Linked DNA regions of Caenorhabditis elegans. The protein of the gene in region 1 interacts with the protein of each later gene in a pairwise test. Each region holds a gene or a part of one and is shown in the gene's direction. Other genes may lie near its edges. The genes, in order: cir-1, erm-1, idpp-12 and rbmx-2.

Region 1 (5,147 bases):
TTTCGTTAGTCCCCTTCATACGGTATTTTTGTTTCCGGTTGAACCCTCACATCTCCTCTTCTCTCTTCTTGTATTTATTCTTCGTTTGTCTCTCATTTCTTACTTGCTTCCCAAAAATTTTCTGAATAAAATCAATTATTTTCAGATCGAAAGATGGACTTGGCGGATTTAATGGAAGTGGAAAACGGTGATCACTCAATCAATCAGAAGCACGTTCAAATCACCTTTTTCAGTAAAGATGAAGAGTAAGTTAGAATTTTATCCAAATGCATCATGTTCGTTTTTCAGAATTCCGCAAATTCCGGATGCCGTCTTTGATGTTCCGACTGGAGCAGAATGTGATGATATGAATCTTCTATTGAACAAGACTATTGAAGCCAATGATGGTTTATTTCAGCTATTTCAAATAAAAATGTTATACAATTTTATTTTTCAGGTGCATGGAAAGAGCGGCGATTCGAATTTCTGGTTGGTGAAACGTTTTTGCGCACGAGTCTAGCTGAATTCATCGAGGAATACGAAGTGGAAACGGTAAATTTCATTTAAAAAAAGTTTAGAGTTTTAATAAAACAAGCTCTGCAGGAAACAATCCTTAAAGTGGAATGCGTAATTGGAATTGAAGCTCCAAAACCACTTCATGATATCCAAGCGCCTGATTGGGTTTCTTCGGTACAAATCGCAAACGGCCAGTATGTTTTTTCCGCTTAATGTTTGGTAAAAGTCTCATTCTGAAATTTTCAGCATTTTCTCAACAACCTACGGAGGAGACATTGTAATTGTGGATCGTAAAGGAAAAGAGACAAAGTTGGCTGTTAATTCAGCAAATCGTCTTTTAAAGTGCATCTCAATCGTCAAAGCACCATCTAGTCAGTTTTAACACTAGTTGAAATTTAAAAAAACGATAATTTTTGTTTCAGAGAAAAATCAATTGGACGGTACAGAATTTGTGGTCGGCGGTGAAAATCAACTGCTGACTCTCTATGCAATTGAAAAAGGAGCACTTGTTGAGAAGGTTAGGTGTTCGAATTTCGGGGTTATCAGTTTTATCAATAAATTTTGTTTCGAAAATTCTTTTTTTTTATTTTGCAGTCATTACTTCATTCTTAATAAAAATTTTCCAGCTCATCCTTCGTGGTCATGAACGTGCCGTCGAATGTGTTTCAGTCAACTCGGATTCGACCCGTGCGATTTCTGGATCAGTCGACACAAATCTCAAAATTTGGAACTTGGATGCATCTGATGAAGCAACAACATATGAGAAAGAAGAAGAAGAAGAAAGTGCGAAGAAACGCCGAAAGAAAGAAACCAAAACTAAAGTTCCGATGGTTACGATTGGAGGGCATCGTGACAAAGTATCCGCAGTCGAATGGTGTCCATGGAATTCTGGACACGCATTTTCGTGCTCGTGGGATCATACTATTGTTGAATGGGATTTGGAATTAGGTTAGTTCTAATGATAAATATCCTATTTATATACAAAAAATAATTTCATTCAAGCTGGTGAAATTTCGCGGATCAAAGGACCCAAATCATTCACAAGCATTGATCTTCATCCGAAGAGTGATCTTCTCATCTCCAGTTGTACTGATGCTATTCCAAGACTTTATGATCCAAAAAATAGAGGTTTGTTTGTTAATATTTATTTAGTCTCTTGTATTTATAAAACATTTCAGATGGAAGTATGGTTAAACAATCATTCATTGGACATCAAAATGGATGGGTTGAAGCTGTCAAATGGAATCCGTTGGATACAAATCAATTTGTTAGTGTTTCCACCGACAAAACTGCGAAAATGTGGGATGTAAGGTAGGTCTTGTTTCAAAAATTAAAGAACCATTCAGTTTTTACTTTAATATTCGGTTTGTTTCAGATCCTCAAAGTCTTCATTGTTCGACATTCATGGACACGATGATCGTATTTTGTGTGCCACGTGGAATGAAGGACTAATTGCAACTGGATCCGCAGACTGCACAATCAAAATCTTTGAGACTGCTTGATTTGTTTTGTTTTTTGTTATTCTACAAATTCTTATATTGTTTTTTTTTCTATATACCGCGTTTTCTATTTGTTGATTTTGATTTTTTGTTGAACTTTTTATGAAGTTATCCACTTGAATTTATTTTCCATTACCTTCTGACAGTTTTGAACTGTGTTAAATATTTCAATTATTTTTCTTTCTTCAATTTTTCATTCAAGTATTTTCAGAATTTTTCAGTGAGAATCAAAACAAAAGCGTTGCAAAATGGGGAAGGGTTTTCAAAACTTCATGTCCAAAAAGGACTTCCATCCATCCGCTTTTCGGAATCTCAAAATGGTCTGGGAAGCACGACAGAAGAAGTCTTTGGAGGACAAACGACAAGAAGAACTTCGAGTTGCTTATGAGAAAGAGCAAGAAATTTTGAATAACAAGTATGTTGCATTCAATATCTTCTCACTAGATTATAAATATTTTTCAGAGCTCTTCTTGGAGACGAAAAGGCCAAAATGGGATTATCGTTCATGTATGATGCTCCAGCTGGAATGACAAAGAGAGAAGAACCGAAAGAAGAGCCGAAATTCGAATGGCAACGGAAATATCAAGCACCACGTGAAGATTGGGCTAAAGGAAATGAAGAGATCCAAGATCAACCATTCGGAATTCAAGTTAGAAATGTTCGATGCTGTAAATGCCACAAATGGGGTCATATAAATACGGATCGAGAATGTCCATTGTTCGGAAAATCTGGAAATTTTGAAGATGAAGGATGTAAGTTTCCGAAAAAAAATCGAATTAAATGTGTAAAATCAATTTTCAGATGCAAATAATCCATCAGACCTAATCAAAGATCTTCGTCGGAGACGACAGGAAGGCAAAGCAGGACCTTCAACATCGAAATCGTCTGCTGCTGCGGCGACAGGAGAAGATGACGATGAGGATGAGTGGATGGATCATCAGCAACTTGCGAGTGATATGCGTGAAGAACATGGAATCAAACTCAAAAGTTCTGTTTTGGCTGGAATGCAGACAGATCAACAGCTAACAAGAATGAAAAAAGAAATGACCGAAGAAGAAATGATGCTGGAGTTTTTCAATTCGATGACTGAAAAGGAAAAAAAGAAATTGCATAAGAAGCTGATGAGCGGTGCAGATTTGGAAGATGTAATGAAGAAGAAGAGTAAAAAAGAGAAGAAGAAGGAAAAGAAAGAGAAACGGAAGAATAAAGACAAGAAGAAAGATAAGAAGAAAAATAAGAAGAGCAAATCTCGTGAAACTGATGACGATTCTGATGGCAGCGATAGTGAGGATGATTGGAAAGGTATTTAAAGATGAGGTTTTTACATAATTAATTTGATCCTAAACACTTGTTCATTGATATCAAATATTAACGAAACGCTTAGAGTAGTTATTAGTTTCTCGATTTTTCAACCAGTTCATGTTTCAGAAAAATCATCGAAAAGGATCAAAAGAGAAGTGGAAAGTTCTCCGGAATACAGATCGAAGTATATCAAGCAGGAAGTTTTATCAGAAGACGAGAATTCCCATGGAAGAAAGGATTCGAGCCGAAAAAGAGCGCATAATGATTCAGAATCGTCAAACGAAGTAAGATCGTCAGAGAGGAAGAGATCTCGAAGAGATGATTCTCCGAACGCCAAAAGAAGTATCGGGTTGAAATCGCCGGAGAGGAGAAGCTCACGAGATCGGAAATCTTCACCCAAACAACGTCAGGATTCACCAGTGAGAAGACGGCGAAGTCCATCGTCGATTCGGAAGGAAAGTCAGCGTGTTCGTAAACATTCACCAGAACAAAAAAGAAATGGCCGTCATGATTCACGATCAGTGTCCCCTGTTAGAAGACGTCGTTCTCCGTCTCCTGACAATCGTCAGCTGGGTTCGAGAAAACAATACTCGCCACTGCGACGTCGCCAATCATCTCCGATGGTTGCATCACCAAGAAGACGTAGATCTCCATCACCAGAACGACAGCGCAAGAGACGTTCACCATCCGATTCCCCGCCAACAAGGCGTCTTTCTACGTCACCGATCCGACGTCGTAGAAGTCCATCGCCCAACAAGTTGCCTGTGAGAAGGCGTCGTCATGATTCCGGATCGCCTGATCGTGATGGATCTGAATCACCGAAAATGTGGAGAAAGAAGTCGCATAAATGAACGCTATTCAAATCAATTTTTAAAATTATTAAATGTGGTTTTCTTTTAAATTTTTTCCGTCATGTCTAATAAAGTATTTTCACACATTTTTGCTGTTTATAAATTTCTTGTATTTGGTGTTTTATAAATAATATTCTTAAGAATATTCTTCAATGGAAATGTTTTTATCTCTCATTGCGATACTTCTAAAATCCGCAATTGCGTCAACGCACGAGAATTGCGCCAATGAAGATTCTTAGCGCGGAATTCGTGCTTTGTATTTTATATAAATAAAATATATTTTAGTTTTCATTATTTCTTCCATTTTCAGCTTGTTTCATTGAAGTCTTGCCATTCACTATGGACACTAATTTCAAGGTAATTATTTGAAGCGTTAATTATTCAATTAATATTCCACCAAACCCATTTTAGTTGTCCAATTGCATTGGTACAGTGTATCGAGACGGTCAAGTGGCGTTCAGCAAAGATGGATACTCAGTGATTTCACCTATTGGCAACAAGCTATCAATTTTTGATCTCAGAAAGTAAAAAATAATTTTATATTCACATTTGATATATAATTTTTCAGCAATACTTCAAAAACATTGGATATTGACTGCAATTACAACATTAAAAGACTCTCTATTAGTCCATCGGGTTATCATCTTCTTGCTTCTGACGAGCGTGGGTTATAATGAAACCTATTCGAAGTCAATATTAATATTCTTCAGGTGGAGTTGTTCACTTTGTCCATTTGCTGTCCGAATTCAAAATATATACTTTTCGCAGCAACAAACCGATCGGATCACTTCAGTGGTCACCAGACGCAACGTAAGAAAAAAGCAAATAATTGCAGTTTCTAAACTCATATTTTCATTTCCAGCCGAGTTGCTATTTGCCGTGAAAACGACCTTCAGATCCATGAATTTGGCAAAAGCATCGAAAATAAAGTTTATAACCCGTTCAGTCTGTCAAGAACCTACAAATTGAGCAGTGATAGTCTCAAAACAATTGACTGGTC
Region 2 (8,632 bases), 370 kb from region 1:
ACTGACACATACAAACGACACATTCAAACTTATTTACATAGTACTGTATTCATATTTTATATATATTCAAATGCAGTTGAGAATAGAGAATAAACCTTTCATTTCTTCTTGTTGTACTCGGTTCGTAGTTTCAGATCATTTTGATCGAACCGCTTTTTTCTGTGAACAAGTATTTTCCAATAGGTGTTTTTTTGCTGTTTTCATTCTCCTTACGGAAGTTTTTATATTGAATCTTTACTTTCCTTATTTTTCCAGTTAATTTTTCAAAATTATCAAAAATTTAGCGAATTGTCTCGAACTTCTTGGAATTTTTTCCGTACTGTTCTAATACGGTATCCAGCTGAAAATTTAAGCCAGTTTGTGTGCTTTATTGGCTTTTTCCATCAAATTTTTTGTTGTCATGTTATCTCAACATTTTTCAAAATTAGTGTTAAAATATCGAAAAATTACTTGATTCGTCTGAAAATAAACTTCAATTTAGCTAAAACATTTAAGAAAGCTTTTAAAAATGGCCTGAAAATTGCCAGTATCCGATTATCGAATTATCAGATTTTTTGTCTAACAATTTGCAACTTTCCCACCGATTTTGAGCATTTCTTCAAATGTTTCAGCTAAAAATATGTTTCATTTCCAGATAAATCGAGTGATTTTCGATATTTTGACACTAATTTTTAGTGAAAAACGTTGGAACAACATAGCCCAATAATTTTGTAGAATTGCCGGAAATAATAGCCCTGTACCTGTAAATCAAAATCAATATTCCCACCTGTGACACATATTTTTCTGAATAATTTTTTGATTCATGAAACTTTTTCTTTAAAATAATTAAAGCATTAAAAAAAACTCAAACTCGCCAAAACTCCCAAGAAACTGTCCAGGCACCCGAGAATCGCGCCAACGCCCTGCTGGCGCGATTCTCGTGCAGTGGCAAATCGCAGAACGCGCCAAAAACGGATCCGAACGGGTTTGAATCAGACGATGACTCATTTTTTATTGTTTTTCGAGTTTTATTGATTTTTTTTAATCGCCAAATGTATAAATCCCCCTAAAATATACACAATTTTCCATGTGTCACTTTGAATTTTCGGATAAATGATTGAAAAATTAGATTTCTCTATTCAAAATTTAAAATTCATAACCTTGAACTCATTTGTTTCGTTTTCTTCGCTCCGTTTTCTGATTTCTCATGAATTTTTGAAATCTCTGTTCATTCGAATTCTATTTTCACATCTTATTTTACTTTCTTGCAGAAAAAAGTGACGAAGATTTTCGGTGGAAAAGTTTCGTGAATTCTCACCGCTCACCCCAATCCATCTTCGACTCGGACATCAAAAAGAGCTAAAATAATGTCGAAAAAAGCGGTAAGTTTGAAAAATGTAGCTTCAAATAATTTAAAACTTTTACGGCCAAATAAAAAAAAACACTGTTTAAATTTGCGATTTTCTTATTTCTTTCGGAAAAAATGCCGCCATTAATTAAAAACAAATGGAAAAAATTTGAAACTGTGAAATGTTGAATATTTCGGAAATTATGTTCTGTTCAGCACGACTTCTGCCGATTTTTTTAAAAAATAAGAATCTATCGATCTAAAAATATACTCTGTATTTTATTTTTCACTTATAAGACTATAAAGAGGCATATTTCTGCAAAATGGACTCATTTTTGAGGTTTTGTTGAAATTTTCGAAAATAGAGGGTTTCAATACCATTTTGCATAAATGCGCCTCTTTTTAAACATATAAGTGGGAAATAAAATACAAAACATATATTTTTTACAAAATTAATTTAAAAAATTTTAGAAAACAATTCAGATTTTTACGCTTACGAAGTAGAGCCGCGAACAATTTTGAACTCGAAATAAACTCAAAATTGATGATATTTGAAATATCATTTCATTCTTTTTTTTTCTGCCGAAACTTCTATGAAGAAATGCGCACATGTATGTGTGCAAACCGACAAATAGGCGGAGCCTGTACAAAAACGGGCGGTCTATAGTTCTTCTCACTCCGTTTTTGTGCTGTATACAGGGAGAGAGAGTGACAACTCATATCATTTAGTTTTAGATAAGAATTTTAAATTCTCAAGTTTCACTCTTTTTTTTATTTTGAATTTCTGATTTTCATGCAAGATTTCTTATATCATTTTACTGAAAAATTTTAAGCTAACCTCTTCATATCAATTGGTCCAGCAGTTCAAACTTGTGGAACACAAAATAGAAAAATGGTTGCGGCCGGCGATGTAAATTGTTAATTGAAAAAATTTTTTTTAGAAATTTAAGAAAAAATATAACGAAAAATCGATTTTATTTTTGCCTAATCCAACTATTTCTTGTTTCAGATCAATGTGCGTGTCACCTCGATGGACTCGGAGCTCGAGTTCGCTATTCAGTCGAGCACCACAGGAAAGCAACTTTTTGATCAGGTTAGATGATTTTGTTTTATTATATTTAAAAAGTACTTTTTTTATTAAATTGGAGAATGGATAAATTTTAATAATTCAAAAAAAAAATCAGAATTTTCTGAAACATTAAATTTTCACTAACCATTAGAAATTTTAAATCAAAACGATTTAAATTTGAAAAAAATAATCCAAAATTTCCAGCTCTTGAAATTGAGTTTCGAATTTTCCAGCAATATTAATTCCTTCATTTTAATTTTTGCAGGTTGTCAAAACCATTGGTCTCCGCGAGATCTGGTATTTTGGACTTCAGTACACTGACAACAAGGGATTCCCAACATGGCTGAAATTGAACAAGAAAGTCTTGTCTCAGGACGTTAAGAAGGACCCGACTCTTGTTTTCAAATTCCGCGCCAAATTCTATCCGGAAGATGTGGCCGAGGAGATTATCCAGGATGTCACTATGGTATGTTTGACACCTTTTTTTAAATATTTAATTTTTTGGAAAAAAAAAACTGTAAATTTTCCATTACCTCTGGCCAATATTTGATTTTTAGTTGTAATTCTCACTTTTCGCTTTTCTGACATTCTCTGGCGACTCTCTTGATTTCCTGTGCTATTTCTGATTTGTAACTGATAAGTAGAGAATGCCCGTGCCATTTATGCATGTAATGCAATGTTGGCAAGCAATAGGAAATAACTTTGGAGTATATTCAAGAATAGAAAAAAAGGGGAAAATTTTGGTAAGGAATACATTTCTGTGGTTTTAGAGTACCTTCTTACAAGCTGGCCTGCTTAAAAAGACCCCAAAACGACCAAATTTCAAAATGAAATTTCTCAAAAAATGCCCGAAAATGAATTAAAGCAGTGAAAATTCTGAAAAAAATCCGATATTTTTTCTGTTAAAAAAATCCGATATTTTTGCTAAAATTAGAATAAAGTTTTTTATGCCAGTGATAATTCAATAAAATGGCATTCCGATTTAGGAAAATTTGGCTCTTTTTTGAGAATTTTGGCTCGCTATAAAGAATTTTTGAATTTTTTAAACCAGTTTTATTTGAGCAAAAAAAACTCTTCTGCTCAAAAATTTCCACGGCTCATGTGCTCACAAGGTCCTCAATAAACTGCCTAAAAACAAAATATTTTGATGGTGACAAGTGTAAACATGGGCATTTTCTCCCTTCCGTTTCAAAAAAAGGTTCTCCCATTGAGAGTGTGGTTTCCGATTACCTCCGAGCCACTTTTTTGTCTCACACAAAAAGAGATTGTTTAATGGTTTGTAAACATCGATGGGAAGACACTGTGTGTGCGAGACTCTTTTTTTGAGAGGAGAAATGAGCATCCTATTAGAACCTCCGACTGCGAACAGGAAATCTCTGATCTGGGTGGTCTGTTTTGTTTGAATAGGATCACAAGATCAGTTGAAGATTTCAGTAGAATAGCTATTTAGTACCTATATGCAAATTGATTTAGTACCTATATGCAAATTTAGATCAGTTGTTAAAATTAATGTAAAAATTTCTTTTTTTTTTAAATATAGAAAAATACTTTTATTTCTATGAAAATAACATTTTTCAGTTGAAACATTTGAGAAAATGCACAAAAATGGTCTGAAAGTTTCTAATTCACAAAAAAACCTTTTTTGAGCACTTTCTCAAATGATTCAAAAATATAAATATCACTTCCGGTTAAGTAAATTGATTTTTTCTCTTTTTTTTAGATTTCCAATAATATTTCGCATTTGAATTTGAATAGATAGACTGACTTAAATTCTGTTCCGATGACTCATATCAATGGAAACAATGAAAAAACTCTCAGTTTGTTGCTGTCTCTTTGCTCTTTTTATATTCATGTTCATAACTGACATAAAGAGGAAGAGGAGAATGGCATGTGTGAATAATCAAAAAATGATTCAAAACGATAAATATGAGGGGAAGAGAATATAAATTGAACTTTTTGCAAAATTTGCAGAATTTTTTGTTTGGAAGAGGGAACAATTGGGTTTCAGAATCATTAGTTGAAAATGGAGTATGGTTTTTTAAAATGTCAGAAAACAATCTCAATGTACAGAACATACAGTTAAAAAATTATGAAGTTTTTTAACTGAAATTAAGCCTTAATTAAATGAAAATATTTTCAGCGTTTGTTCTATCTCCAAGTGAAAGATGGAATTCTGTCAGATGAGATTTATTGTCCACCGGAAACCTCTGTTCTTCTTGCCTCTTACGCGATGCAAGCTAAATATGGAGACTATGTTCCAGAGACACATGTCGCCGGATGTCTTACTGCTGATCGGTGAGTTTTTCTTGAAATTAGCTTTTAAAAAAATTATTAATAACTATTAAAAAATATCTTTGCGGTTCAAAATTCCAATCAAGATTACTAAAATAAGAAAAATAATAATTTTCTGCGATAATTCATTTTTAATTATGTAGTGAAATTTCACAGTATCACAGTACTCATACAATTCATAATTATCACATGAAAATGAGATTAGAATAAAGAAGGGAAAGTTCCAGATCTAGATGATCAATAAAAAAGTATATAATAAGAAGTAGTTAAAAAAAAGTAAACTTTTTATATTAAATGCCAAAAATAATTAATTATTTCATTCCAGTCTGCTTCCTCAACGCGTTCTCGGACAATTCAAATTGAACAGTGAGGAATGGGAACGCCGTATTATGACATGGTGGGCAGATCATCGTGCAACTACACGTGAACAAGCTATGCTTGAATATTTGAAAATTGCACAAGATCTCGAGATGTATGGAGTCAATGTACTGTTTCTCATTTTTCTGTCGAGTTTTAAAAAAAGCTAATTTCAGTACTTTGAAATCCGCAACAAAAAGGGAACTGATCTCTATCTTGGTGTCGATGCTCTTGGATTGAATATTTACGATAAAGCTGATCGTCTTTCGCCGAAAGTCGGATTCCCATGGTCGGAGATTCGTAATATATCATTCAACGACAAGAAATTTGTCATCAAACCAATTGATAAGAAGGCTCATGTAAGTGATTACTGTCACACACAGTTTGTCGTGGCATCAAGCTTCTATTTGTTGGCAAAATTTCTGCGGAAAAAACGGAAAAATTGTGTGATAGTAGTTGGAAGTGGTGGTGATAAGAAGCAATCGATGGAACATTGAATTTTGATTTAAAATTTTTTTGTTGGTTTTTCTTATTTTTGGGGTGTGAAAATATCACAATCATTGACCAGATGCGGAATGTTGCGATTTTGAGGCAAAAGTATGGTGCCCGGTCTCGGTCTCGACACGACCGAATAAATTTATTTACCAAAATGGTGTGCACCTTTAAAAAGTAGAGTAGCTCCAGGCCTTTCTGATTTCCAACTTCGTTAGATTTTTCTAGTTTATTAATTAATAAAAATTAGTTTCACTAACAAAAGTAAAATAAAAGGTTTTTACAATAAAAATATTTAGAAAAAATCTATGAAAATTTCAAATCAGCTCAACGGTAACTACTGTACTTTTTAAATGCGCACATCCTTTTTCATTTAAATTTATTCGATCGCCTCGATATCGAGTAATGTGTTTTTGTATCAAAAATCGCAAATTTCGAGATGGATGGAACATTTTGTGGAAATTGAGTTTGTTGTAATTTTTCTGAACATTTTTTCCCCGATTTTTTGATTTTAGAAAAATCGAAAAAAAATTCTTATTTTCGCTGAAAAAAAAATCGAAAAAATGTTTTTCATTATTCGTCTTCATTTTTATCATTAATTTTCAGGACTTTGTCTTCTACGCTCCACGACTCCGTATCAACAAACGTATTCTTGCTTTGTGTATGGGAAATCACGAGCTTTACATGCGTAGAAGAAAGCCAGATACCATTGAAGTTCAACAAATGAAGCAACAAGCCAGAGAGGATCGTGCTCTTAAGATTGCCGAGCAGGAGAAGCTCACCAGAGTAAGTTGCGGAAATTTTTGAAACATGTTTTTACAAATAATTTCTAAAAAAACTTTCACTCAAATCTGTTTTGATCGTACAGGAGATGTCTGCTCGCGAAGAAGCCGAACAGCGTCAACGTGACGCCGAAAAGCGTATGGCTCAAATGCAGGAAGATATGGAGAGAGCTCGTCTTGAATTGGCTGAAGCACACAATACAATTCACTCATTGGAGGCTCAACTCAAGCAATTGCAATTGGCTAAACAAGCATTGGAACAGAAGGAATACGAACTTCGTGAGCTCACTGCTCAACTTCAATCCGAAAAAGCAATGAGTGATGGTGAGAGACGTCATTTGAGAGACCAAGTTGATGCTCGTGAACGTGAAGTTTTTTCGATGAGAGAAGAAGTCGAGAGACAGACTACTGTTACAAGACAACTTCAGACACAGGTATTTTTTATTTTTGAAACTAAAATAGAAACAAAAAATTCTCTTTAAAAAAATTATTTTAAATACCGTATTAACAATTATCGAGCAGTAATTTTCAGTCTGAAATTACTGTTTTAAAATTTTAAAATGAAAAAAAGTATGCAGTAATTCCTGAAATTAGTTGATTACTGTAACAAAAAAGCTTAATTTAAAAAAAAAATTTGCAACAATAAAAGAGATACAAAAAGAAAAAACTAAAAAAAATTGTGAAAGAATAAAAAATCCGATCTTTAAAAGCGAGATTTTTTAATTGTACGCAGTGATGTTGCAACAAAAATTTCGGCCAAAAAACAAACAAATTTTGTTTAAAATTTCTCCAAAAAACCAACAAAAAAAAACAAAAATGTTCATTTTTCGTCATACCAACTAAAACATAAAATTTTTGATAAACATTTTTTTAAATGTTTTCTTGTCCGAAAAAACCAAAAAAAACGGAATCCCTGATTGTAACTCTGGATTTATTTTATTTCAAAATTATTTTTTCTTAAATTCAGATTCACTCGCAACAACACACTCAACACTACTCAAACAGTCATCACGTTTCCAATGGACACGCTCACGATGAGACTGCCACTGATGATGAAGATAATGGAGCAACTGGTATGCCTTTTTTATTTATTTAAAATAATTGGGAGAGATTATGAGAAAAAATATCATCTTCAAATTTTATCTTCCAGAACTCACAAATGACGCTGATCAGAATGTGCCACAACACGAGTTGGAGCGTGTCACAGCAGCCGAGAAGAACATTCAGATCAAGAATAAGCTGGATATGTTGACTCGCGAGCTTGACAGTGTTAAAGATCAGAACGCTGTCACTGACTACGACGTTCTGCATATGGAGGTTCGTATTTTAAAAAAACTCGTTTTAATGGATGGTTTTAGAGAATTTAGCATTCAAAATTTACAGTAATTTTCTAGAACCTGCATTTTTTTCATAAATTCAAGTTTTAAAAAATATTTCCGGACTGCGATCAAAATACAATTTTTTAAAAATTAAATTTGGAAAAAAACAGAAGAACGCAAAAATCTTTAAAAAATATCGAGTTCCGGATTATTTTAAAATAAAAAAAATCATTAAAAATCATTAAAAAGCCATTAAAAACAAATTTTGCTTAAAAATAATTTTATGATATTAAAATTGTTTGAAGTACAGAAATTGAGTTTTTTCGGTGTTTTCTGTTTGCAGACAAACCGAAAACATTTCTGAAAACATTCCAAACTCGGTATTTCCTTTACGGAAACAAGCAACATAAATTTTACTTATTTTTGAACAAGTTTGACCCTAAATTTTTTAGATTTTTTGAGCGAAACCGAAATATCGAAAAACCGAAAAACCTGCCGGCCCGATTCCAAATTTTTAAATTTTCAGAACAAAAAGGCCGGACGCGACAAGTACAAGACTCTCCGTCAAATCCGTGGAGGAAACACAAAACGAAGAATCGATCAATACGAAAATATGTAATTATTTGTTCTATCGTATTTCCTTTTATTTTTTTAAACAATATTCTCAATTGTCTCCCACCAACTTCCAAATGCTCATCATCTTGGCTCTTTTCTCCCTTTCTCGTTTTTTTTATAGGACAACAATTATTATTATTATTAATTTGAAAATTTATTGGTTTGTTCCGATTCACTTCCTTGTTCACCCCATCAGTGCCTTTTACAATATTATCCGAAATTTGTTTTCTTCCAAAAAATGCTCGGTTTCTCTATTCCCCTCTTCTTGTATTCGTCATATCCAATTTTTCAAGTAACTTGTTAAATCCGCCGCCAAAAAACCCCGAATTTCTCGCGCAAAGACTTCAAATTCTACGCTTTTCCCCTCTCTCTCCCCATC
Region 3 (4,002 bases), on another chromosome or scaffold:
CGTCCTCACGTGATTTCAGACTGTCTCAATACAATTTGATCTACAAAAAATGCGGGAATATTTTTACAGAACAATTGTGACGTCAGTCATGCAAAATCAGATGAGATGCATGCGTCTCAACTTCCGCATTTTTTGAAGATCAAATCGAAATAAGACCTTCTGACTCCACGTGCTTCCTGTCCATCTTTTACAGATACCTGACAAGACTTTGGCATTAATGGAAGAGCTTACTCAGCAGTTAATTTGTCAAGATTTTTGGCAGGAAGTTGCTCTCCTAAAGAGCGAGTTAATAACGTTTCATTCAGCCACCTTCATTGCTGAAATTGCAAAGTTTTTCTGAAAAGTGTGACGTCAAATGCGGTCTGGAAGCTTAGAAGCCTAGACGCGTTGGGTTTCAGTATCACTTTGTCAGTTTTTCAGACAATGTTTAGATACAACTAGTTGCTAATTGGAACTGAACTTGAATAAGTATGTGTAGCGCTACACAAAGTTTGTGTGATTCGCGGCAAAAAAATGCTTGCGGAACTAGAGCAGCGCTCCGCCTCCAGCTGATAAACATACCGACCTGTCTCCCCCAGGCGGCATCGTATAAAAAGCGAATACTTTTACATTAGAACCATCAGCTCTTACATTTATCCGTTTCACCATGCAATCCGCCTGCCTCATCGCTCTTCTTGCTCTCGTCGCCGGAGCGTCGGCTCAATGCTTCGAAGGTGGATGCGGAGGAGGACCAATCTTCCTTCCACCACCACCATGCTTCGGAGGAAACTGTGGTGGATGTTCGGGTAACAACTGTGGATGCAATGGAAACAACTGTGGACCACAAGTCACTGTTGTCCAGGTCCCAAATAACAATAACGGATGCTCATGCAGCCCATGCAATGGACCAATTTGTGCTCCAATGTGCAATAGCTGCCCACCACAGCCGATCTTCATTCAGCCATCTCAATGCTGCAATAATAACAGTTAGTATTCGTCGCAAGCATGGTTTTTCAAAAAGAGTTTGCTATTTTCAGACTTCTCCTGTTGCCCATTCCGTTTCCGTCGTCATAACTCTGCTGCTGCTGCCGCTTCAGATGAGATCACCGAAGAGCCAACCACAGCTGCTCCAGCTCAAGAATAGATCCCAACTTCTAAAAGTTAATTCCCAGTTTTTGTATATAAAGCAACCCATTTTGGTAGATTAATAAATATGAATTAGTCCAAGTATTCTAAAAATTGAAGCTCAATTCTTCTTTTTCAGAAATTTTATCACAAAACTGAAAGTTTAATGCATTTTAAATCTCGACCCTTAATGCATTTGGGCCGGTCCAATGCCAAGCTTTCAGATCCATAGCCAATTTGTATACGACTGAAAAAGATTATTCTGAAGCTTGAAATTCGTGAAGCCATGAAGTGTAGGCCCCTTAAACAGAACAATATTTTACAAGGTTTGGAAGTGGGAAATTCGTTTTATTTAAATTTTGCCTTAGTTTTTGGAAATTCAATATTCATGGATTTTCATAGAAAAATAACTTCCTGAAGTGAGACTATTCAAGCCTGAAAAGTTTTCACACTGTTTTTTTAAGGAATTTCGCTGTATTTGGTTGCAACGTCCTCACGTGATTTCAGACTGTCTCAATACAATTTGATCTACAAAAAATGCGGGAATATTTTTACAGAACAATTGTGACGTCAGTCATGCAAAATCAGATGAGATGCATGCGTCTCAACTTCCGCATTTTTTGAAGATCAAATCGAAATAAGACCTTCTGACTCCACGTGCTTCCTGTCCATCTTTTACAGATACCTGACAAGACTTTGGCATTAATGGAAGAGCTTACTCAGCAGTTAATTTGTCAAGATTTTTGGCAGGAAGTTGCTCTCCTAAAGAGCGAGTTAATAACGTTTCATTCAGCCACCTTCATTGCTGAAATTGCAAAGTTTTTCTGAAAAGTGTGACGTCAAATGCGGTCTGGAAGCTTAGAAGCCTAGACGCGTTGGGTTTCAGTATCACTTTGTCAGTTTTTCAGACAATGTTTAGATACAACTAGTTGCTAATTGGAACTGAACTTGAATAAGTATGTGTAGCGCTACACAAAGTTTGTGTGATTCGCGGCAAAAAAATGCTTGCGGAACTAGAGCAGCGCTCCGCCTCCAGCTGATAAACATACCGACCTGTCTCCCCCAGGCGGCATCGTATAAAAAGCGAATACTTTTACATTAGAACCATCAGCTCTTACATTTATCCGTTTCACCATGCAATCCGCCTGCCTCATCGCTCTTCTTGCTCTCATCGCCGGAGCGTCGGCTCAATGCTTCGGAGGTGGATGCGGAGGAGGACCAATCTTCCTTCCACCACCACCATGCTTCGGAGGAAACTGTGGTGGATGTTCGGGTAACAACTGTGGATGCAATGGAAATAACTGTGGACCACAAGTCACTGTAGTCCAGGTCCCGAATAACAATAACGGATGCTCGTGCAGCCCATGTAACGGACCAGTTTGTGCTCCAATGTGCAATAGCTGCCCACCACAGCCGATCTTCATTCAGCCATCTCAATGCTGCAATAATAACAGTTAGTATTCGTCGTAAGCATGGTTTTTCAAAAAGAGTTCGCTACTTTCAGACTTCTCGTGCTGCCCATTCCGTTTCCGTCGTCATAACTCTGCTGCCGCCGCTTCAGCTGAGAACACAGAAGAGGCCACCACCGCTGCTCCAACCCAAGAGTAAATCTCTACGATCGTCTGATTACTTGATCCAATTTTTGTATATACGAAACCTAGATTTATACGTAATAATAAACACGTTTGAATTTATATTTTATTTCTGAACAGTTAGGTGGTTCCTGTGGCATAACAGAAAGTTGGTAATGGAGAAACAAGACTAGACTTTTTCCACAATACTTCTTTTTCAAGCAAACGGTTCTTCGGACGTTGTAGTCAAACAGGAAGATGAGATCAGCGAAAAACCAGATTCAACATACAAACTTCGTTTGATCAGAGCACAAGCTTTGTAGGGGACAATTTAAAATGTCGCCCTAAAATTTATGCCTATAAGTTGCGTAGCAGGCACTACAGGCTGATCTACAAAAACCGCGGGAACTTTTTCCCCAGAAAAATGTGAAGTTTAAACATGCGAAATCAGTTGATAAGTCTGCGTCTAAATTCCCGCAATTTTCGTAGATCTACGTAGATCAAACCGAAATGGGATAGCCTGACACCACGTGCGGACGCACACTTTTTGTCACTTGGCCTAGAAAAAGCGAAACCTCGGCCAATCTGTCTACAGAACAGGTGCAACTCAGCAATACGCTCAATATTAAATGTCTTTCATCATTTTCTCAGCAAATTTTCATAAGTTTTCCAAATGGAGCGCACTTCTATCGGGTGGAAGTTTAAATATTTTTCTGAAATTTTATACACTTCAATTTCTGAGAGATTCTTGTTAATTTTACATGTGATCGGTGGGAGATATGAAATTTTGAAACATTTTCCAGTCGAGAAGCGTGAAGGCGTTTTCCGGGCGAAAATTGGGGAAGCGCTTGGAGAATAGTCGTTTCGCTCACGGGATTCTGGCCTTCCTCACTGAATTTTTCGCGCTCCATTGACAATTGCCCGCCGGAAAACGCGTGGAAAAGTGTCGTGTACTCCACACGGACAAATACATTTAGTTTTCAACTGAAATCGAGCCGCAACGCGCCGTAAAACTACCCCAGACAAGCCCGAGCCAAAATGGCCTAGTTCGGCAAACTCTTCCATTTCAATTTATGAGCGAAGCCAGAAATCCGTGTTCGCCTGATAGAAAATTTTTATAAAAATGATAAGAACTTCCCAAATTCCATTCAAAAAACTAGTCGTGGTATCAAGTTTACCCTATCATGGCAAATCTTTATGCATGATCAAAAAGAGCATCCAGTTTTGTTGCTCAAAAGTGTGCAAGGTCGGTCACAAAACTGAGCACGTCCTACGGATCGCACAGTTTATGACTTTCAATGGGGATGCAACAACCCGACACACCGCC
Region 4 (4,254 bases), on another chromosome or scaffold:
CGCAATTATCGATTCCATCATCTAATACTTCGCAAGCATCATCGTCTTCAATAATTGCACGGAATACTGAATCTTTATCTTCCAGCCCGCCCTCATATATAACGTCATCAGCTTGTTTCGATAGGGACTCGTTCGCATGATCCTAAAAACAAAAATTATGCATTTTTCTCTTCATTCAATCACAAACCGATAGTTGAACTCCGGAGTTTGCAGATTCTTCCCGATTTTGAGAATCACATCCACACATGGCAGGCAATCTTTCTGGGAGTGAGCTATCTGAAAGTAAATAAAATTTATCCATAAATTTTAAATAAAACTAAAGATACCATTTATTGAAGGATTATTGGCGCTCATTGAAGTCTTCACGGTTTTATCTTCCGAAGCACTCGAGTTAACGAGACTTTCGGAGGGAGAATTGTCCTTGTTCATAGTTTTCAATTCATGAAATTTAACTTAAACAAAATAGAAAAAATGGGATAGCACAAGATTGATCAAGCAAATTTGTTGATGACAAATGAAAAATTTTTAAAAGTAGCGCGCGCACAATGCTGTTTGGAATCACCCAACGAGACCTTAACAGAAATTTGGTGAATGTTCCTTTAAATTTGCCAATGTTACGGTATACCGTATCAATTAAAGTTTATTTTTTTTGAGTTTTTAATTGAAAGCTTATAAAAGCACGATATCAGTTCTGACGAATAAGTGAATGAAATGAAAATACCGTGAAATATTCAATAGTTCTCCTGCCCAAATACATGTTAGACATTGAGGAAGGCTGTATCAAAATCGAACGCAAGTTAATTAAACTATAACGTTCATAACTTTTGAATTTCATGAGTTGTAATTACATGAAATGAGCAAACGCTCTGAGTTTAATATTGTAGTTTCCAGAAATTAATTACAGTTGGAAGTCTAATACAGTTTTTATTTTGGTAACTTTTATTTGCCAAATTTACAGAACAATTCTTTATATTTATACAATGTTTGAGAATCCACCGAGGAAAGTGAGAGTAACGAAGTAGAATATAGGGAAAATCGAAAAAGAATAAGTTAGGAGATGATGACCAGACGATTGTTACCACAATGACATCCCATTCATATCCTCGCCGTTGAAAATGCGGAAGTAAAAAATGATGACGCTAAAGTTGATTGAATTGGCGATGAAGATTAGGAAGCACGCGGACATCGCTATCTGAAAAAAATTAACATGTTGTACAAGGTTTAGCGATAATTGAAATAAATAGACGAACCACAATTACTTGACAAGAAATTAATAGTGAAGTGAATGATTTAGAACAGAGACTGGCTCCAGCTTCCACTGTCGTCATCACGATGCAAGTAGAAATATGCAATAATTGTACCGAACATAATCACAGATCCTGTATTGACGAGGAAGCATGCACTGTTTGCTATCTGAATTGGACATTTATTCATGCGTTACATAAACTTATTCACATCATTCCACATTTACCCAAAATTTGATCTTAAATTATACTTACCGTTCCTGCATGTGCCAGCACTATCGGAAGAGCAAAGGCGGAGATGACAATTCCAGTGGTGATGAAGAGAGCTAATTCAATGCATGCATTTGTTCCAGTCATATCTTCTTGGAAGCGTCTGGCGATGAGAAGTGGTACCGGCGAAAGAACGTAGAATGTGATAACAAACATTGGGGTCCATGTTCTAAAAAATGAATATTAGCATTTTCAAGACGTTTAAAACTAACCCGTACCTAGGCAGGGCACATCCAAGAACGAGGAAAGTGAGGCCAACAACTCCGGCGAACGCCAGTGCAGCAACAGCTAAAATTGTATTTTTCATAGAGCAGCAATCGAAACACTGTATATGAATATGACAGCACATTATGAATCTTTCAGGGAATAAAAATTATCAGAAGAATGTTCAATTCAAATAAGCGTGGATTTAAGAAAATATAAAACTTTAATTTCACGTTAAAAACATAAATACCTCGTACTCCTCCCATTATGAACTCGTGTCTTGAAAACTTATTTGATGAATAAATCCAGGTTCCCTGAAACAAGTTATATGACCGAAAAGATAATTATTACACAAAAACAAAGAGAAAAATCGATGCAAGCAACTGAAGACAGAAATGGGGAAAGCGCGAGATGTGTGCATTCTGACGTCGCTGTGTTTGCAGACTTTCGACCGTACCCCTTTTCAATTTACGAAATCTAGTTTTCTCTTTAATTTCCATTATTCCGTGTTGCGATCTTGTTTTCAGTTATATTTCACTGATTAATTAACATTTTGCAGTAAAACATGAATCCGATTACGAATATCAAAAATCAGAACCGTATGAACGAGCGGGAGCTCAGTTTGGGTTACGCTGGAGATCTCAAAAAATCGTGGCATCAAACTTACAAAGATTCTGCCTGGATTTACATTGGTGGTTTGTCATACGCACTTTCAGAAGGGGATGTTATTGCCGTTTTCTCTCAGTGAGTTTTGCAAAAAATTGTTTCTCAATTTATAAAGTTCTTTTCAGATATGGCGAAGTTATGAATATCAATTTAATTCGAGATAAGGACACAGGAAAGTCGAAAGGATTTGCTTTTTTGTGTTACAAAGATCAAAGAAGTACGATTTTGGCAGTGGACAACTTCAATGGAATCAGCGTAAGTTTTTAATTCATTTAAAAAAAATGCAAAGATGCTGATAGAACATTAATATAAAGCCTTTTTCAAATTTTTCAAATAAAATCGATCGTTTAAACGACAACAAAAATAGTATTTTGTTTTCAGTTACACAAACGAATGATTCGTGTAGATCATGTGGAAGAATATAAAGTCCCGAAATACAAAGAAGATGCCGATGATGAAACGAAACGATTATGGGAAGAAGGATGTGCTCCAAAACCAGTAATGAGAGAAGCAGCACCTATGGAAGTTCAAGAACAGAGAATCAAGAAAGCCAAAGAAGTATTATTAGATATTGGAGATGTTGATGAAGAGTTGCTGAAAAAAATCAAAAAAGATAAGAAGAAAGCAAAAAAGGAGAAGAAGCGGGAAAAGAAGAGAGCAAAGAAAATTCGAAAATTGGAGAAGAAAGCTGCAAGAGATCCAGATGGGGATTGGAATAATAAAGCCAAACTTATCGATAAAGTTGTGGCTGAAGATGATTTGTATGGTGAGAACAAGCACTTTGATTTTGGAAAGAAGAAAGAAGTTGAAGAAGTTAAACATAATCCAAGACCAGATTTTGAGAAAGCTGATTGGAGAGATATTGAAATCTGGAAAGTCATCCGAGAACGAGAGAAGGCAGAGAAAGCAGCAAGAGGAGAAACATCAGAAGCGTGGGGTCCAGAGGATCATTATGTGTCAAAAAGATATCAAGGAAGATGAATATTTGTTTTTTCTCACTTTAATAAATTTTTATTTGTTTTTTTAAATCGTCAACTGCCATGGCATTGCAATTAGAACCAACTTTTGTGGAAAATTAGTTTTGTCGAAAATACACACACCCTTGCAAAAAAACTCACAGTCTAGTTGGAAAGTACAGTATACCCATTACAATCCAAACTATCTTATTATTTCAATCACACTTCCCCATGTCTTCCGAAGCTCTCAAAAAGTACAAAATCTCAGTATAAAGTGATATTCTAGTCGTAAAATGGTACTCGTGATCGAAACTCTGAAGCTTCTGTATCCGAGAGTATTTCGAATTTTACTTCCTTATGCACACACCACGTTTCAATTAAATTGCTCAAAAACGTCTCCGAACACCACCAATAAATGCAACAAATTTTGTTGTGATGGGAACATCGAAATCCACAAGGAACATTGAATCTGCCAACAACCATGGAAACGAATTAACTAATTTTTTTTTAATTTTCAAAACAGAAACTTGAAATTTTTGAATACATCAACTACAGTACGCCGTAGTAACATACTCGAGTACGGTAGCTATGAGATTTCGGTCGCTTCAAGACCGGGTTCCGAATTATTCGAATTTCCAAAAAATCGCAGAGACTAGCAACTTGAATATAAATCTTTATTAATTCAAAAGTAGTCAAATTACATGAAAATACGAGTTAAAACAAATTTATTTCAAAGACATTAGTGCTCAGACTCCCTTGACAACTGGCATGTGATGGAAACGACTTGGATGCGAATGCATTTTGTGCCAACACGGCTCACAGTAGTACTGGAAGCACTCAAGAGATGGACAGAAGTATGGAGCATGTTGACGATGATAACGACCCGAACATTCCTCGCAAGATTGGTTGTGAAA

The links.
Region 2: the proteins of cir-1 (region 1) and erm-1 interact in a two-hybrid assay, tested with the Caenorhabditis elegans proteins (one large-scale study listed by BioGRID).
Region 3: the proteins of cir-1 (region 1) and idpp-12 interact in a two-hybrid assay, tested with the Caenorhabditis elegans proteins (one large-scale study listed by BioGRID).
Region 4: the proteins of cir-1 (region 1) and rbmx-2 interact in a two-hybrid assay, tested with the Caenorhabditis elegans proteins (one large-scale study listed by BioGRID).

The regions. Positions count from the first base shown.
Region 1 is NC_003279.8:5,652,916-5,658,062, reverse strand, and holds cir-1 (CBF1-interacting co-repressor CIR N-terminal domain-containing protein), read left to right. Parts: upstream 1-2,205; 5' UTR 2,206-2,242; coding exon 2,243-2,409; intron 2,410-2,456; coding exon 2,457-2,746; intron 2,747-2,795; coding exon 2,796-3,296; intron 3,297-3,422; coding exon 3,423-4,147; 3' UTR 4,148-4,235; downstream 4,236-5,147. Other genes in the region: wdr-12 (Ribosome biogenesis protein WDR12 homolog), read left to right, coding at 154-245, 289-386, 437-531, 583-689, 742-866, 918-1,012, 1,122-1,443, 1,498-1,623 and 2 more; F55F8.3 (Periodic tryptophan protein 2 homolog), read left to right, coding at 4,487-4,504, 4,559-4,671, 4,716-4,810, 4,858-4,957, 5,010-5,147.
Region 2 is NC_003279.8:5,284,223-5,292,854, reverse strand, and holds the start of erm-1 (Moesin/ezrin/radixin homolog 1), read left to right. Parts: upstream 1-2,160; 5' UTR 2,161-2,219; coding exon 2,220-2,237; intron 2,238-2,336; coding exon 2,337-2,420; intron 2,421-2,661; coding exon 2,662-2,862; intron 2,863-4,536; coding exon 4,537-4,691; intron 4,692-5,013; coding exon 5,014-5,173; intron 5,174-5,221; coding exon 5,222-5,404; intron 5,405-6,143; coding exon 6,144-6,323; intron 6,324-6,405; coding exon 6,406-6,753; intron 6,754-7,286; coding exon 7,287-7,392; intron 7,393-7,469; coding exon 7,470-7,636; intron 7,637-8,164; coding exon 8,165-8,257; 3' UTR 8,258-8,632.
Region 3 is NC_003282.8:3,301,770-3,305,771, forward strand, and holds idpp-12 (Intrinsically Disordered Protein, expressed in Pharynx), read left to right. Parts: upstream 1-2,220; 5' UTR 2,221-2,238; coding exon 2,239-2,557; intron 2,558-2,608; coding exon 2,609-2,712; 3' UTR 2,713-2,800; downstream 2,801-4,002. Other genes in the region: W08E12.4 (CC domain-containing protein), read left to right, coding at 647-965, 1,017-1,123.
Region 4 is NC_003280.10:6,194,965-6,199,218, reverse strand, and holds rbmx-2 (RRM domain-containing protein), read left to right. Parts: upstream 1-2,270; 5' UTR 2,271-2,283; coding exon 2,284-2,462; intron 2,463-2,509; coding exon 2,510-2,639; intron 2,640-2,765; coding exon 2,766-3,365; 3' UTR 3,366-3,408; downstream 3,409-4,254. Other genes in the region: szy-4 (Suppressor of ZYg-1), read right to left, coding at 1-142, 188-276, 327-429; C30B5.2 (Vacuolar protein sorting-associated protein 55 homolog), read right to left, coding at 1,291-1,413, 1,500-1,683, 1,727-1,802, 1,969-1,984; cpb-2 (Cytoplasmic polyadenylation element-binding protein 2), read right to left, coding at 4,087-4,254.